Rattus norvegicus: one gene and its partners. The main gene of each other region encodes a partner of the protein of the gene in region 3 in a complex. Links are inferred from orthologs where the notes say so. Each region holds a gene or a part of one and is shown on either strand. Other genes may lie near its edges.

Evidence for each region.
Region 1: Smarcd2 (region 3) and Arid2 share a complex: the UniProt entries of both Homo sapiens proteins name them as parts of the SWI/SNF-B (PBAF) chromatin remodeling complex. The link is inferred for Rattus norvegicus from reciprocal best matches to the Homo sapiens genes SMARCD2 and ARID2.
Region 2: Smarcd2 (region 3) and Pbrm1 share a complex: the UniProt entries of both Homo sapiens proteins name them as parts of the SWI/SNF-B (PBAF) chromatin remodeling complex. The link is inferred for Rattus norvegicus from reciprocal best matches to the Homo sapiens genes SMARCD2 and PBRM1.
Region 4: Smarcd2 (region 3) and Smarcb1 share a complex: the UniProt entries of both Homo sapiens proteins name them as parts of the BAF complex. The link is inferred for Rattus norvegicus from reciprocal best matches to the Homo sapiens genes SMARCD2 and SMARCB1.

What each region holds. Positions count from the first base shown.
Region 1 is NC_086025.1:129,409,413-129,413,605, reverse strand, and holds part of Arid2 (AT-rich interactive domain-containing protein 2), read right to left. Parts: coding exon 2,393-4,193; intron 1-2,392. UniProt on the Homo sapiens protein: Involved in transcriptional activation and repression of select genes by chromatin remodeling (alteration of DNA-nucleosome topology). Required for the stability of the SWI/SNF chromatin remodeling complex SWI/SNF-B (PBAF).
Region 2 is NC_086034.1:6,222,675-6,226,867, forward strand, and holds part of Pbrm1 (polybromo 1), read left to right. Parts: intron 1-864; 5' UTR 865-1,004; intron 1,005-1,212; exon of another isoform or gene 1,213-1,288; coding exon of another isoform or gene 1,289-1,336; intron 1,337-2,826; coding exon of another isoform or gene 2,827-2,841; coding exon 2,842-2,979; intron 2,980-4,193. UniProt on the Homo sapiens protein: Involved in transcriptional activation and repression of select genes by chromatin remodeling (alteration of DNA-nucleosome topology). Required for the stability of the SWI/SNF chromatin remodeling complex SWI/SNF-B (PBAF).
Region 3 is NC_086028.1:91,695,974-91,699,849, reverse strand, and holds part of Smarcd2 (SWI/SNF-related matrix-associated actin-dependent regulator of chromatin subfamily D member 2), read left to right. Parts: intron 1-2,054; coding exon 2,055-2,239; intron 2,240-2,371; coding exon 2,372-2,414; intron 2,415-2,538; coding exon 2,539-2,661; intron 2,662-2,856; coding exon 2,857-3,012; intron 3,013-3,407; coding exon 3,408-3,503; intron 3,504-3,631; coding exon 3,632-3,733; intron 3,734-3,876. UniProt on the Homo sapiens protein: Involved in transcriptional activation and repression of select genes by chromatin remodeling (alteration of DNA-nucleosome topology).
Region 4 is NC_086038.1:12,753,925-12,758,117, forward strand, and holds part of Smarcb1 (SWI/SNF-related matrix-associated actin-dependent regulator of chromatin subfamily B member 1), read left to right. Parts: intron 1-1; exon of another isoform or gene 2-138; intron 139-260; coding exon 261-427; intron 428-1,880; coding exon 1,881-2,071; intron 2,072-4,193.

The DNA of each region.
Region 1 (4,193 bases), on a different chromosome or scaffold from region 3:
ACACTGAAACATAAATTGAGCCTGGTAGATTTATAAACCCCATCTCTCAGGAACTTGGGCATCAGGGTTTGGAGTTTGAGGCCAGCTGAAGTTATATAGTAGAATATCGTCTCAGAAATCAAAACAAAACAAAACCAAACCAGAAAGGGACCAACAGGTAAAGAAGTAAAAAAAACAAAAACAGTGCTCTCTACCACATTAAAAATGTGTCCTGTTAGAACAAGTGAGAGACACAAAACATGGGAAAGGCACAAAAGAAGTAAACTACTGTTGTAGAAAACAATGTGACAAGTTACTGAAAGCTGGGCACGGTAGCACACGCTTCCCAGCAGGAAGAAGGAGGGCGATTACCTACAGGTTTAAAGCCAGCTGGTCTACAGTGAGCTCTGGGCCAGTCAGGGCTACATAGTGAGACCCTGTCTCAAAAAATAAAACAAAACAAACAAAATACAAGCTATCAGATCACAGGATTAAGAGATATAGAACGAACATACAACATGTTTTACATGATGCTGAAAAAAAACCAAACCAATATTTATTTTTAAGTTTCTAATCTTTAGGTCATTTTTACTTATAAATATGTTAATGTGGGCTTTTTGTTTTGCTTCTACCAGACTTCAATTCATGGAAATGCAGAGGGTAGGCCATCTGGAAATAATACTCTATAAGGTGCATTTGGAACTTGCAAATATTACAGATTTTAGAAGAGGAGCTATAAGTAAAGAACTTTCCCTTGAAGCAGGTACACGTTTAAAAACTTTCCAGTTAAATATCATGTAAAAATAATCAAAGAAAAAAATTAAAAAATGGTATTAAAAGCACTCTATCTTGGACCCTGTGGAGTATTAAAAACACTATCTTGTACCCTGAAGACTACCATTCAACCAGTGAACAAAGTGGCGTTAAACCAAAGTCCTAAATGCAGCCAGAACTGCAATGGGTGATAAAGGACCTGGGCAGGAGGGAGGGCTTCCCTAGAAGCAAGCGGACTTTTTTTTTTTTTTTTTGGTTCTTTTTTTCGGAGCTGGGGACCGAACCCAGGGCCTTGCGCTTCCTAGGTAAGCGCTCTACCACTGAGCTAAATCCCCAGCCCCGCAAGCGGACTCTTAACACCTTAGTCCAACAACTCCAGAGTGACTTCAGACCTGGCTTTTGTTCGTACGTCTGTCCCAGGCATCTATAGCCCCTGAAGTGCTTGGTCCTCTCTGTGAGCTCAAGCAGAACTGAGCCATTACAACTGCTCGTCTGTGGCAGGTGCCCGGTTACCCACCACGCAAAGTTGTCCTTGCAGGATTGTTTTTGGTTTTCCCATTTTCACAGACCTCCTGCTTACGTCACCTGCTTCCTGGTAACCAGCATCCAGTGTGGAGACATAGGATGCAGTTTGGAGCTGGGGGCCACTGAGAATTGAAGCAGGGCTTTATACAGGAAAGGCAAGCCACTCAACAACTCTTATACTCTCAGCTCAGAATATAATTTGTTTTTTTTTAAATGAGCTGTGTTCTCAAAGAAAATTAGTGTCTGGTTAGTACCTAATTTTTCAGATTAGCAACAAAATCTATGATTTTAATGGTCCGAGGCACCTGTGTATAACTTTTGTATTTGTGCCCTAAAAATCTACACGATAGTTCAAATAAGTACAATGTAATATAAAAGTCAGTTATAAATTGAGAGCTGGCTTCCTTCAGAGTGAACCAGGCTTCAGTCTTGGCACCACCTCATGGGCGATGGCCCTAGATGTGTTATTTACTTAGTCAGCATGAGTCCTCCCCTCCAGCACAGGCTAAGAGTCTCATGCTAACAGGATGGATTGGTGAGAGTCACTGGGAAAAGGCGTGCGTTAGTCTACAGTGCGTTAGCCAGCTGCCGTTCACTGCTCTCTGGGCTAGCGACTGCACTATCCTATGGGCGCCAACCAAATGGAAGATCAAGTGCACACAAGATGAGGGGAAATGAAATAACTCTGTAAGAGTAGAGTTCTTCTTGAATGGAGTTTGGTTCACTATCATTTTATTTAGATTTCTAACAGACTCCGAGAGGAAAATCGATCAGACATACATAATCCGATGAATTGCTAAGTTCACATGCAAGAAACGTTTAAAAATTCACTGAATGTCTACTTTGTGTCCGTCACTATAACATTTAAGTGAAACCGTGGAAGTGTGGAGATCAACAGTCACTGGGCATTACCGCCCGGAACAACATCCACCACAGGTCAAACTGCGCACAAAACTCAAAGAGCCCTTACCTTGAAGCTGGAGCTGAGAAATGTCTCATACACAAGAAGCAGGGAAGTCTTTAGCACACATGCCCGACAGACACCACGACTGCTCACGTTCAGACATAAGCGATTGGCTTAGCCTCCACGGCTGGAGGCGCCGCGGCGACTTACCTGTGGGAGCGCGCTCTGCGCGTAGGCTGGCGGCGGCGGCGGCTTCTGCTGAGCTGCGCTTCCTATTGCTACTTTAGCTACAGTGCTCGGGTCGGCGCCTGCTGGGACAGCCACCATGGTGGCACTGCAGCCAGCATTGTTGGGGTCGCTGATTGTGACAATTCTGACCCCTACTTTATTTGGAATTCCCGGGGCTGCTTCCCTATCGCCATCCTCTGCTGGCCTCTTCACAGTTTTGCACTCGGCTGTGCCGTTTGTAGACCGAGCGTCAGATGACAGAGCGGAGGCGGGCCCTCTAGATCCTGAGTGGGGAGCTGCTATGACCGGGTGCCCCTGTATGACAGGGGCTGTAGGACGCGGTGAGACAACCACACTTGGGCGCTGATGAGGCACATCTGAAGTCAAACCTGAAGCTAGAGGTCCGTTAGGCAAGTCAGTACCACTGAATGGCTGTGTCGCCACACTCGAAGCTTCTTGCACACTGCTGGTGGCCGGTGACCCACCCAGAGTTAACGCGGGTCCATTGGGAACTCTTTCTAGCTGGTCGCCTTTGGCAGTCTCTTGCTGGGTGGCACCCAAAGTCCCCTGTGGCTCCACTGGAGATACCTCACCGTTTCCTACATGATTACAAGTTTTGTGATTTGGAATGTTTTTGCTTAAATGAGAACCATCTCCTTTATCAAAATCACAGATTCCATTAACAAGGGTTTTTTTCAGATCACTTTTGACATCCTGCATGTCCACTGGTTCTGAGTTCTGTTTTCCAGATGCTCCATTCTCACCTAATTCCAACGATGGCCCATTGCTGAGTGGTGAGCACGGGTTGGGCTCACTCTGAAGTTTCCCTGAGTGTGAAGGAGGTAGACTTGAGTCACTGTACTTTCTCCCGTTTAACAGGCTCCCCACCTGGGTCTCACTCTCACTCGTGTCCCCATTGCTGGTGTTCGTGGTTCCTCGTCGGCAGGAAGGATTCTCCATGACCTCGATTTTCCGCTCATGAACATGTAGACCTGTTGCTTCCTTTGCCTCCTCCTCCTTTTGGCAAATGATCTTATCGCCTTTGAATGGGGGGGCAGCGCTGGTACACGCTGACTGTCCGGCTGGAAGCGTCTGCACCTGAAGTCCAGCTCCGGCCTGCGCCCCACTCATGCTAATACCGGCTGGAGCGATGAGCTGAGCTGCGTTTCCCTGACTCACAGTCGCAGTTGCAAAACTGGTATTTGGCACAACTGTTATAGTTACCTGGTTGCCGGAAGTCCCTTGGAAAATGGTTGCTGGGCTGTTTGAGATCAGTGGACCCGGCAGTATTTGTAAGTTGGAAATGGGCACAGTTTGCACTCCCCCCGTGGGTGGCATTGCACTTTGGACCAACTGAACATTTGGCTGTCCAACCAGCAGCTGCTGAGCAGGGGTCTGCCCCTGCGCGCCAAAGCCAGCTGCTTGGCTATTGGCCACCTGATAGACCACCTGGGGGCTGGGGGCTCTGGCATTGTTAGGGGGAGGAATCTGTGGGGCTGGGAGGATAAGCTTACCCCCTGGGGTGGAAGGGCCCCGCTTTGGGAGCAGCAGCTGTTTTATCAGACTAGACTCGCTGGAAGCGGGCTGACCAACTCCTGCACCCGCCTGCTGGGGCTGCACTTGCACCTGGACTTGCGGCGGCTGCACCTGGACCTGGACCTGCTGTGCTGGCGCCGCTGGTGAATGCTGCTGCTGCTGCTGCCTCTTCACAGACAGCATCTGACTGACAGTAGGAGGGGGTCCCTGTGACTGAAGGGTGGAAGAAGATGACATGGCCGCAGGG
Region 2 (4,193 bases), on a different chromosome or scaffold from region 3:
TTTTAAACATCTTATATGCATTTTCAGAACATTTAGTTTATATCTGGCACTATTTTATAGAATGGGATACAAAAATAAAGAGGACCCAGTTTTTGTGCCTAGGGAGCTTAAGAGGTTTGCTTTGCAATTTCAAAGTAATTTCATGTGCATTATTTCTTCAGTGCCAAAAGGCTATGAGTACACTTTGCTGTTTTCATTTGGGGTTTTTGTTTGTTTGTTTGTTTGTGTGTTTTGAGATGACATTGAACTAGTACTTCTGTCTCCACTTTCTTAATGGTAACATTGCATGTGTGCACCACCATGCCCAGTTCCATGCGGTGCTGGGATTGAACCTGGGGCCTTCCAATCCGCTAGGCAACCACTCTTCCAACTTAGCTGTCTGCTCAGCCCTTGTTCCCATTTAAAGATGAAGAAACAGATCTGAGTTGCGATTTGTCCAGCATCCTACAGATAATTAGAGGCAGAAGGTCTGACTCCTGAGTGTGGGTCCTTTGTTTCTTTCACATTACATGTTAAAATGTATACTTTGGATAAGAAAAATGAAAAAACCCGTCTCTTGTATCTTTTGTCTTTTGAAAGTGTGTTAATGATTAAAGGATCTGGGCTGTCGCATCATCTAAAACTGCAATATACGCAATACTAATAATTTACATTTTTTGTCATTTGCTTTCTAGTGCATTATAAAAGGTCATTTTAAATTGCCAAAATAATTGAAGACTTTTAAAGCTCTGCTAAACTTAAATGCCGTGTCTTTTCAGTGCAGATAGAACTTTGAGAAAGAAATGTTTTTCTCTGATTCTTGGGTGGAGGGGAGGAAGAGTTTTGTAGAGTCTGCTCTCATGAGCCATTCTTGGTTTGTTCCAGCTTGCCAACACTTGGTGTCACATGTGAGCCTCCCACATGTGTTCACTCTCCATCCCAGCTCTGTGATTGAACTCTGCTCTTATTGACTAGGGGGCACTTGGGCAGGCATGCTCCATTCCTGGAATTGACAGTCATTTCATGTGAGTAAGGGTGAAACGCAGTGAGACATTTCTAAGCATGTGGAAGCATTGGGGTTTTAAATGAAAGAAATGTCAGGTGCACCTGAGAACTGACTGATGTGCCTGTGTCTCTCTCTTTAGCAGTTCTACTTGAATGTATGTTTTCTGTCTGTTCGTGACTCATTTTTATCCCTATTTCCCCTTTCTCTGCCTTGTTCTTCTCTTTCAGTTCTGAATAGACTAACTGAATAAGCCCTTATAAAGCCCTCCCTTCTCTCACTGGCTTCAGTTGGCCTGCAGACATAATGAGGAGATTGGCTTTTCGAGGCGCTGGTTGTGCTCTGGTAAAGCTGGTAAATTACTGATCATCTTCACCCTTTCCTGTCTCTGTCGCTCTTTACCTTTCCCTCAACGTTCGGAAGTTTGTAATAATTCTTCCCATACGAGTCCCTCCTGTGTTTATCAGAGCGTTTCCAAGGATTAATCCTTAATTTCATTAAATTGTGGAATTATGGCCAGTTAGCAGTCTTTTATAAACAACAACAGAACCTGGGTGTTCTTAACCTAAGGATGTAGAAACTTTTAACTACTTTTAGTCAATTTCAGACTAATATTCTTGGTAATTAAACCAAAGCCTGTAAGAAGGGACATGATCGCTGTGGGTTCTGTTTTAAACAGAGTGTGGACTTTAGTTCAAAGCAAGAGGTAGTGGGCCCCTCTTGTTTCTTACTTGCTCAACAGATTTTTTTTTGCTTGTTTTTGTTCTTGCTTTCTATTTCCTGGAGATCCCCAATTTTTCTTTCTGTAGTACAGGCAGCCACTGGTCTACTGTTGTTTATTTAGTTGAGCGAGACTTAAGTCTTTTTTACTTTTACCTTTAGGAAAGCCCTTTGAGATTATAATGCACTCACTATTTGATAGGACTGTTAAATTATGTAAGCACTGTAGGACGTCCTGGGGTCTATGCCCTTTACCTATAGTAATTTATCTCTGTGGTTGCATTTCTTACATTATAGCCAAATGTGTATATTGTAAAGTTATGTTAAAAATGGTTTCTTTTCCTTTTTTTATTTGAGACACTATGTAGCCCGGGCCGACATAGAGCTCAATATGTAGACCATGCTGGCCTTGAATGCACAGAGAGCTCCCCTGGCTTTCTTGTCAAGTGATGGGGTTAAAGTGTCTATCAAAGAATAGTGTCTTAGAGATGAGGAAGGCATCTCAGTGGGTAAAGAGCTCGTGCAAAGGTGAGGATCTGACTTCGGATCCCCAGCACCCACTTAGAAGCCATGTGTGGGTAGGAGTGTCTGTAGCCCTCTCAGTGGAGGGGCAGAGACAGGTGGGTCTCAGGCACTGACTGACTAGATATTCTCCAGGGTTAATAAACAACCCTTTGTCCAAAATAGGGGGAAGGTGCTAAAAGGAGACATGGTCTCCAGCCTCAGGCGCACATGTGATGCATAGATGCTTAGGCAGGCAAGACGCTGTACACAGCAAAAGTAACTTTCTTAAATGTCTAGCACGTATAGGAAACCACATTTCAGGATAAATCTGGAGTAGACATGGTAGGCTAATTTAGAATGATTGACATATAAATGTGTGTACTTCTGCCAAATTTGCCCCATTAGAGGTTGACAGTACAGCATTCTGATAAGTACAAGGCTAAAAATCATTGAAGTCTAGGACTTAAATTAACAAAAGAACTTAGAGCTAGTTCAGTTCCTCTGGAAAGAACTATCAGCTGTCTTAAATGGACGAGCAGTTTGGTGATGTGTGTCCAGCTGAGAGTTAGTTGACATTGTTGACGATTAAATATAAGAACTTGGCTAATTATTTCTTATAGAAGAAGTTGGAGTCCATGGGGTCCAAGAGAAGAAGAGCCACCTCCCCGTCCAGCAGTGTCAGTGGAGACTTTGATGACGGGCACCATTCTGTGCCTACACCGGGCCCAAGCAGGAAAAGGAGAAGACTGTCCAGTCTTCCTACCGTAGATCCTGTAAGTAGCCCAGGCTTCACGCTTCTGCCCGCTTGCCCGTGGTTTGCCCACCCTTCCCTCTTTGCAGCAGTTGAGCAGCTACATGGCCTTTTCCCCCTCTGGTTTGATAGGTTTGTAGAAGTCTGTCTATAGCCACAAGTCTAACAGTAATGGTGTGATTTAATATTTTGAAGTTAAAGTATCAGTGAATTGTGTTATATATGTGGTGAGGGCCTGGAGAGATGGCTCAGCAGTTAAGAGCATTGGCTGTTCCTCCAAAAGTTCTGAGTTCAATTCCCAGCACCCACTTGGTGGCTCACAACCATCTGTAATGAGATCTGACGCCCTCTTCTGGCCTGCAGGTGTACATGCAGATAGAGCACTCATACATTGAATAAATAGATGTTTTAAAGAGGAGGTGAGCACTGTGTCTATATGTTGTGGCCAGAGTGCAGAGGTGAGCAGACAACTTGAGGGAGTCCAGTCTTCTTTTCCCATGCAGACTAAACTCAAGTCAGGGCTGGCAGCAAGTTGTGAGCACTGTTCAAGTTACTGAAATATGGTTATATTTGAGGCTCTCTCCAGTTTCACATGACGCATAGATTCCAGCGTGGAATAGAAACAAATGAATAAACTGTAATAAAGTACTAGCACCCAGTAGGACGTTCTAAGATGAAGAGTTTGTGATGTGGGGAAAGAGGAGCTAGTGAGTTAGCTTAGTAGTTTAATGTGCTTGCTTGAGTGCACAATCCTCCTGTCTTAGATTCTCAGTACTAGAATTAAAGTTGTGTGTCCCTAATGCCCAGCTTAGGTGACTTTTTTAAAAAAATTTATTTTTTATGAGTATGAATTTTTTTTTTTGCCTGTATGTTAAAGGCACTGTGTCCTCGGAGACCAAGAAAGGGTGTCAGACACCCTATACCTCAAGCTGTAGGCAGTTATTAGTTGCCGTGTAGGTGCTGGAAATCAAATTCAGGTCCTTTGAAAGAGTAGCTAGTACTCTTAACCACTGAGCTCTCTCTCTAGCTCCCGCTTTTTTTTTTTTTTACTTCTTTTGTGTATATGAATACACAACACACCAGAAGAGGGCATCGGAACCCATTACAGATGGTTGTGAGCCACCATGTGGCTGCTGGGAATTGAACTTTGGACCTCTGGAAGAGCAGCCAGTGCTCTTAACCACTGAGTCATCTCCCCAGCGCCCCAAACTTTTATTTTTTTTAAGTTATATTATT
Region 3 (3,876 bases):
CCGGCTACAGACTTTTCTGGAGAGCAGAACATGCTTACTTGAGCCCTAGATTCTTAGCCCAGAGCTGGCAGGATGAGGTCTAGCCTACTTCCCTTATCTTCTTGGTGGTTATAAAATTTAGCCTAGAGGGTGGGCTTGGTGCTTGACCAAGTGGAAGTTACTGCATTCCGGAGTCCTGGGGACTTAAGCAGGCCTCGTACTCTGTGGTGGGGCAGGCTGGCCGAGAGGCTGAGACTCTGTTTCAGTGACTTTGTTTTGTTTTTAAGTCGGAGTTACTCAGCTCTTCAAAGCCCAGGTGTAGAGCTCGACAAGAAGAAACTAGGACTTGAATTGTGAGCAGCCTTCCCCTGAGGCTGCGGGTGAGCCAGGGGACTGAAGCCCAAGCCCCAGAAGTGGGGAACAGATGTCTGGGTGGGGCCTATTCCAGGCCTGCCTGGGCTGCCTTGCGGGGGGATTTCCTGGAGGGCTCAGCAGTGCTATAGGCTTTATGAACCTTGGTGGAGAGCTTTTGGGGGACCAGAGCGCCTCAGATATATCTGCAGTAACTCTAGGGAACCCTCAAGTCTGGGTGATGATGGGGTCTTAGAGCTTCGGCCACCTGAGGCTTTTCTTTTGTCCCCTCCCCCCTTCTATAATCTCTGGCTCTGGCTTATTAGAGCAGAGAAACAGGCTGTCTTCTGCCTTTCAACAGCTTTGATGAATTTCTTCCTGATGAGGAGAGACTTGTGGCAGGACTCCCAAGGTCCCAGGGTCTCCCACTTTTAACTCCTCAATTGCCACTGTATCCTTGCTCTGCTCCTATCCCCTTTCCCTTGTCTCTGGGTCGTGTTTCTTCCCCTCCCTCTGCTACTGGTCATGAGTCTGACTCCTTAGTGCCAGATAAAGAAGTCGCAGAGACTCATCTTCAGGATGCTTGGGTGTGGGGGTTAGGGGGTGGGCCTTTAACTTGGTATGAATCTCCACCCAGGCTGGCCTGGTTGTCTGGTTGTACTGATTGATTGCATAACCTGGGCCCCGGGGGCCAGGCCTGTGAAGCTGCCAGGGACAGTGTGTGCAAGGCAGAGCTGCCAAACAGGCCTTTCAGGCAGCAGCTATGTGCATGGAGCTGGGAGGTGGAGGGCTCCCAGAAAGGTTGGAAAACTGGGCCTTGGATGGGAAGTCAAGAAGCTACTCGTGTCACCCAGATTGTTGCTGTGACTCTGTGTCCTTCCATCCCAGACAGTCTTAGTCTGCAGTTTGGGCTGGCTAGGGTTAAGTCGGACCAGCAGCAGCCTGGCTGCCAGGTGGTGCCGAGACCATGGGCAGAGGCCAGATGTTTGCTGTTCTCATTCCCATAGGCCACCCAAGAACCATAATTTCCCTTTTTGAGGGTCTTTTGACATAGAGATAGGGGCATGGCAATGGGGGGGGGGGGGCAACAACGGGTTCAGGTTTTGTAGGGGCCATATGGTGACCAGATGGTGTCTATACTCTCCTGAGGCCATCCCCACAAGTTGTGACATAGCAAAGCCATACATTATACTGCTCACCTGAGGTGCTGCTGCCTAATGGTTTGCCATCCCTACTGCCTTTCTTCCCGTCATGCCACCAGGCACAGGCTGTTTACATCCTCCCGGACTCCCCTGGTTGCTGTTGCTATGCATTGCCTCTGGTCTCCCGAGTAATGTTTTTCCTTCAGGATGGGGAAAGGAAGAAGGGGTGTCTAGGGGCTATCTAGGGACTCTATAAATACCTTGAAGCTGGCCGATCCCAGGGTGCAGGACATAGCATATTGGAGCTGGAAAGGTGTTGATAAGTCCTAAAAAATTCCCCAGGTCCTGCCTTCTGCAAGAGGCACTCTCCTCCCGCCCATGGACTCCGGCTGCCTCATTTGTTGGCACGGCTGCCAGGGCGGTTGCAGGGGCGGGGCAGGTGTGGTTTACACGCTGGGCTCAGGCGCCTGTTCCCCTTTGTTCCTGGTCTCCCCGTGTGAGAGGGAGATGGAGGGTATGGGCTATGGACCTCGTAGGGCTCTCCCACTGACCTGTGCCCCTCCACTGTTCCACTTTCCCCAGCGACCTGGCATGTCCCCAGGAAGTAGGATGCCCATGGCTGGCTTGCAGGTGGGACCTCCGGCTGGTTCCCCATTTGGCACAGCTGCTCCACTTCGACCTGGCATGCCACCTACCATGATGGATCCATTCCGAAAACGCCTGCTTGTGCCTCAGGCCCAGCCCCCGATGCCTGCCCAGCGCCGAGGGTAAGACCTTGCCTGTCTCGTCTCTGGTGGTAACCTTGACCACAAGGAGACTCTTGGCAATTTGGGAGAGGGTTTTGAAGATAGTGAGTTTGGACTGTTAAATTCTTAAATGGGTTTCTGTTTTCCTACTAGGTTAAAGAGGAGGAAGATGGCAGATAAGGTTCTACCTCAGCGAGTAAGTGTGTTACGGAGGCCTGCCCAGGTCTGGCTGGCCAGGGTGGGGGTCCTGGAGTGAGCAAGGAGGGAGAGTGTTAGAAGTAGAGCTGGTGAAGCAAGCCATTGGATTTCTCAACCTGCAGATCCGGGAGCTTGTCCCAGAGTCTCAGGCATACATGGATCTTTTAGCTTTCGAGAGGAAGCTGGACCAGACCATCGCTCGCAAGCGGATGGAGATCCAAGAGGCCATCAAGAAGCCTCTGACGGTATATACTACCCCAAGTTCTCCCAAACTATTTTTCCTCCCTGGCCTTGTTTTCCAGGGAAGAGCTTGGGCTTGAGCAGTACTTCTCACACAGGGAGCCATCCATCCACTAGAGCGCACTCAGTTTCGCATGCGTTGAGGTGGTGTCTTGCTACAAATGGCTACTCACTCAGTCCTGCCTCTTCTTCCTCTTTAGCAAAAGCGAAAACTTCGGATCTATATTTCCAATACATTCAGTCCCAGCAAGGCAGATGGTGATAATTCAGGAACTGCAGGGACCCCTGGGGGAACCCCAGCAGCAGACAAGGTGGCCTCCTGGGAGCTTCGAGTAGAGGGAAAACTTCTGGATGATGTGAGTTGGGAAAAGAGGTATTGGGAGGGAGAAGGCGTGTGTGAACTTAGACCATGGACAGACATGAGCGTCTTTATGAAGTCCGAGCCTAGGGAAAGGGTAGATCTACCCAGTTAGAGGTTAGACTTGCTGGTGGGGTTGTTGTTTCTGTGCTGGGGATCAAAGCCTGGACCTCACACATAATATACTGGTCCAGAGTGAACATCTGTAGTTACTGCACTACAACTTTCCTGTAGATGGCAGTCAAGGGTCTTGGATTCACTCCCTGATTGGCTGGCAGTGGGGTTCATGAAGAGCCCTTTTCCTGCCACTTTGCCCACACATTGATGCCGACTCGTTTCTTCTGATGAATAAATTCAGCAGCACACTCGTCTTACATAGCTCTTTCCTCTCAGCCTAGCAAACAGAAGAGGAAGTTCTCCTCATTCTTTAAGAGCCTTGTTATCGAGTTGGACAAGGAGCTGTATGGGCCTGACAACCATCTGGTGGAGGTAAGAGTGGTTCTAGAGTCTGGGAGGGACAAGCTGTCAGGGGGTACAGCGCATGACATCAGTGTGCTGCTGGCAGAGTGCTGTAGCCCATCTGCTAGCGATGAACTCTGCGTTCTCTTGCCTGACAGTGGCATCGGATGCCCACCACTCAGGAAACAGATGGCTTTCAGGTGAAACGGCCAGGAGATCTCAATGTCAAGTGCACCCTTCTGCTCATGCTGGATCATCAGGTGACAGTTGCTCAGGGTCACAGAGAGGGTCACAGGCTTCATGCAAGGAAGGGTATAGGATCCTTTAACTCAGCTGTTCTCAACCTGCGGGTCATGATCCTTTGGGGGTGTGGTATCAAGTGACCATTTCACAGGGGTCACCT
Region 4 (4,193 bases), on a different chromosome or scaffold from region 3:
ATGGATATGAACCATGGGAAGATGCCCGTGGGCAGGAGGAGATATTTGCAGGGTATGGGCCAGAAAGGAAAGGATGTTTCTTCCTCTGCTGCTGTGAGTGTCTGGGAAGGCCAGGTTCAGGTCTCCAGTTGTCCACATCTGTGTGAGAGAGAAGAGGTTTGTCAAAGGAGGAAGGGATGAGAGAGAAACCAGGGCAGTGTGAGTACCATGAAATGAGGCACTACAAATAGATTGGAATGTTTGCATTTTTCTGGTTTCAGAGAAGCTAATGACCCCAGAGATGTTTTCAGAAATACTTTGTGATGACCTGGACTTGAATCCACTGACTTTTGTGCCAGCTATTGCCTCTGCCATTCGACAGCAGATCGAGTCCTACCCCACAGACAGCATCCTGGAGGACCAATCTGACCAGCGTGTCATCATCAAGGTAGGTGCTACGAGTACACTCAGCCCTTGATGGAAGCCTGTCAGAGTTCCTTGCTGTGGGATAGTTTCTGGGATGACATCTTTCAGGGACAACCTGACTAAGTGCTCAGCAATGGGTGGGCTGACTTTTCAAAGTGTCACATTGTGGGTAGGACAGCCAGTGCTGCTGTATCCATCAGGGGCTGAGCCAGCCCCAGAGTTAGGAGACCCCACAGTGATGTGTGCAGCGTCAGTGTGATGTTCCTATGGGCTGGGCTAGAAATACTTCATGATTCAAATACCTGTTTGTATTCCTGCTTTCAGTTCTTTGGATTTATACTCCAAATTAAAGTTAAGTTAGTTAAAATTAAGCAAGTTAAAATTGGTAGGTCACGGTAGTTGAGAGCACTGGTAGGTCACGGTGGTTGAGAGCACTGGTTGCTCTTCCGAAGGACCTGGGTTTAATACCCAGCATCCACATGGCAGTTCACAACTGTCTGTAACTCCAGGATCTCACAACCTCACACAGACATACATATAAGCAAAACACCAATACACATTAAATAAAAATAAATAAATCTTAGGAAAGAAAGTTCTAGGTCACTTGGCTACCCTTTATTATGCTGAGGACCTACCAGACTTGTACAGGAGTTACACCGTCTTATGCCCCCACTCACCATGCACTACAGTGCCAGTTTCTCCCCGGGGTCGGTCAGTAAAAGTTATCATAACCAGCCTGCCTCCCTCCCTCGTTTCCTCCTTCCCTCTTCCTTCACTCCCCGTTTCTTTCTCCCTTTCTTGTTTGAATGTAGCCATCCTAATGGGTGTTGAGTATCAGATCATGTTGAATCTTTTTTAGCTTCCGTATCAGTGTGTGTGCTCTTATACATGTGTCTTACTGTATTGATTTTTTTTCTTTATTATCGGCGTGTGTCACCATGAGCATGTGGAGGGCAGAGCGCATGTTTGTGGAGTTACTGTTTTCCTTCCATGAAGTTTGGGGCTAGCTTATCTTTCTAAGGGGTGAAGGAACATAGGGTCAGTGTACTCGTGAGCTGCTTGGTAGGATGCTTGTAAAGTGGGGACATTAGGGTATGGATAATGGCTTAAAGTAGGCTCCAGGACAATCTCTGTAAGCAGAGCTCTGCATGGCCAGCATAGCTACATAAAGGTTGATTGCCCGAGGTGGGAAGGACAAGGAAGACACTGGTCAGTGTGGGACACAAGGGGATGAGAAGACAGGTTAAGAAGGGATCAGGTGCCCAGAACCTCAGTGTCTAGTGGCAACCTGGGAAGTTGGTTCTGTTCTATAAGGAGCTAGACAGACAAGGGCTAGCCTTGGTCCTCAGCTTCTGAGTGACGGGCATAAATGCTTCAGACCTGGCTGTTCAGAATGGCTTGTCCCCACCTCCTCCCGGCTTTCCTGGGTGACTAACTTTCCGGCTTTCACTTGTGCTTCTTGGTTCCTGCCGCAGCTGAACATCCATGTGGGGAACATCTCCCTGGTGGACCAGTTTGAATGGGACATGTCAGAGAAAGAGAACTCCCCAGAGAAGTTTGCCCTGAAGCTGTGCTCAGAGCTGGGCTTGGGCGGGGAGTTTGTCACCACCATTGCGTACAGCATCCGAGGACAGCTGAGCTGGCACCAGAAGACCTATGCCTTCAGGTAGGACAACTAGCACACTCACCTTTCCCCTGGTCTTGCATTCTTGTCACTCCTTGCCCCCACTGGGAAAGGACCTCATTGAGAACTGGAATGCTTAGGAAAAGCGAAAGCAGAGGGCTTTCTGCAGACGCAGTAGTTCAGGAAGTTTGTTAGTAGGTGTGAACTCAGATCAGATTACCAGACATCCCAAGAATCAGCTTTCTTAGGGATTTCTGTAATAGGAGCAAGAGAAAAGGGGGTCTGGAGAGAGGCAGTCTCGGGGATCCAGTGCTCTCTGTGGGCACCAGGAATGTAAGGGGTATGTAGCCATGTAGCAGGCAGTCACCCAAACACATAAAATAGTAAGAATGTTTTGGAGTGGGGGGGTAACAAGAAATGAGGTGTGTCCTAAAGGGTACGAGCCCCTCCACCCAAGCGCTTGAGAAGCTAAGCAGGCCCGGGTGAGTTGCTTGCTCAGACTCCTCTAGCAGCCCCTCGGCCAAGCAGTTCTGTTTTCTAGCCTTGATGTCTGTCCTTGTATGGAGCCAAGGCCAGCAAGCCTCAGCCAATGTAAAAGGGCTTTCCTCCCCGGAGTCAAGCCGAGGTAACATTGTTTAGGTCCTGGGAGTGTCACTGATACAGAGGATGCATCCACAGCCAGGAGTTGAGTGGGAACCCACTTTGAGATTGTGCATATGCTCCTAGCAGCAAGGTACCAAGTGTCTGCCTTCACCCTGCTATGCGGCAGCTTTAAGTGCTATGGTCAGGGCTCGAAGCTTCTCGAGGCTCATGATGGGTCCTGCTGGCGTCCTTTTCTTCTATTGCCAACCCTTAGCAGCATTTATGCTGTCATGGCCCAGGTGGCTTCCGGTCTCCTGGTCACCTGCAGTTTTTCCATGCTCTAGAACATGCCCTCTGGAAGGCACCCAGTAGTGTCACATTAGGACTCAGGGACTCTATTGCCTGAGTCCCAAATGTGGACAGGAAGGCCCTGGCTCTGCTGTGATCGATCCTTAGTTCTGGGTTCAGATTTCAAATCCTTGGGTGTAGGCCTACTCTGGTTGAAATCTGAGCAAATAAATGTCCTTTCCATTGTGACTTGCCTAGATTCCTGGAATGTCTCAAGTACTTGGTTTCAGAATCAGAAAGGGCTATTTTATCTTCCCAGCCAGTCGGGCCTGGTGAGCTCTTAGTACCTGTCCTGTGTGTTGGACCATTTGGGCAGCTGGGATGCTTCACACACTGCATGAGACCTAGCAGTGACAGACAGGACATAGGAGAATCAGAGGGGAACAGCCAGCACTCCTGATTCTCCCTGCACTCTCAGCTCTGCATCACTTCACCCCACAGACAACGTAGAACCACTCGTCACAGGCAAATAATTGTCCCTCCCATGCTTACAGCTCCTCCCTGGTAGGAGGAGTCCCAGCCTGGTCTTAGTTGTAAGGCTCTACCATGTTGGAAGCACACTAAACTTCTTTGAGCCAGGCTGCCAATCTCTGCATGTCTCTGTCCCATCTCCTTCCGTACCCAGCCTACCAGTCTCGTTTTAGGGTATCTGGCACCCTCTTCTGGCCTCCCATGTGCACTCCAAATATGTGCACATTGTATACATGCATATATATGGAGCAAAGCACTCATAGAATAATAGAGCAGATAATCTTTCTCAATTAAATTCATTTTTAAAAGAAGGGCTGCAATGGGGCCGAAGAGATGGCTCAGTAGTTAAGAGCACTGGCTGCTCTTCCAGAGAACCAGGTTCAATTCCCAGCACATGCAGGGCAGATCACATCTGTCTGTATCTCCAATTCCAGGGGATCCAACAGACATATGTGCAGTCAAACACTAATGAACATTAAAAAATAAAATAAATTATTCAAAAAAAGCAGGGCCTTAACAAATGCAGGGAAGCAGATTGGATCTGATGAGGAGGAGCCGATTAAGGCAGCAGGAGCTGTTGCTCTTAGAATTGCCTAATAATTCCTCCTGAGCCAACCCTGTGCTCAAGCCAGGGAGCAGAGAACAACTTCCTGCCTGGCACAGGAGAAAACAGGCATGTTACTTGTGGTCGTGAATATGGTTTGACTCTACGTGTGCCAGAGGAAAGGTGGCTGGGAGTGGGCACGGAGCCTAAGGGGAAGCC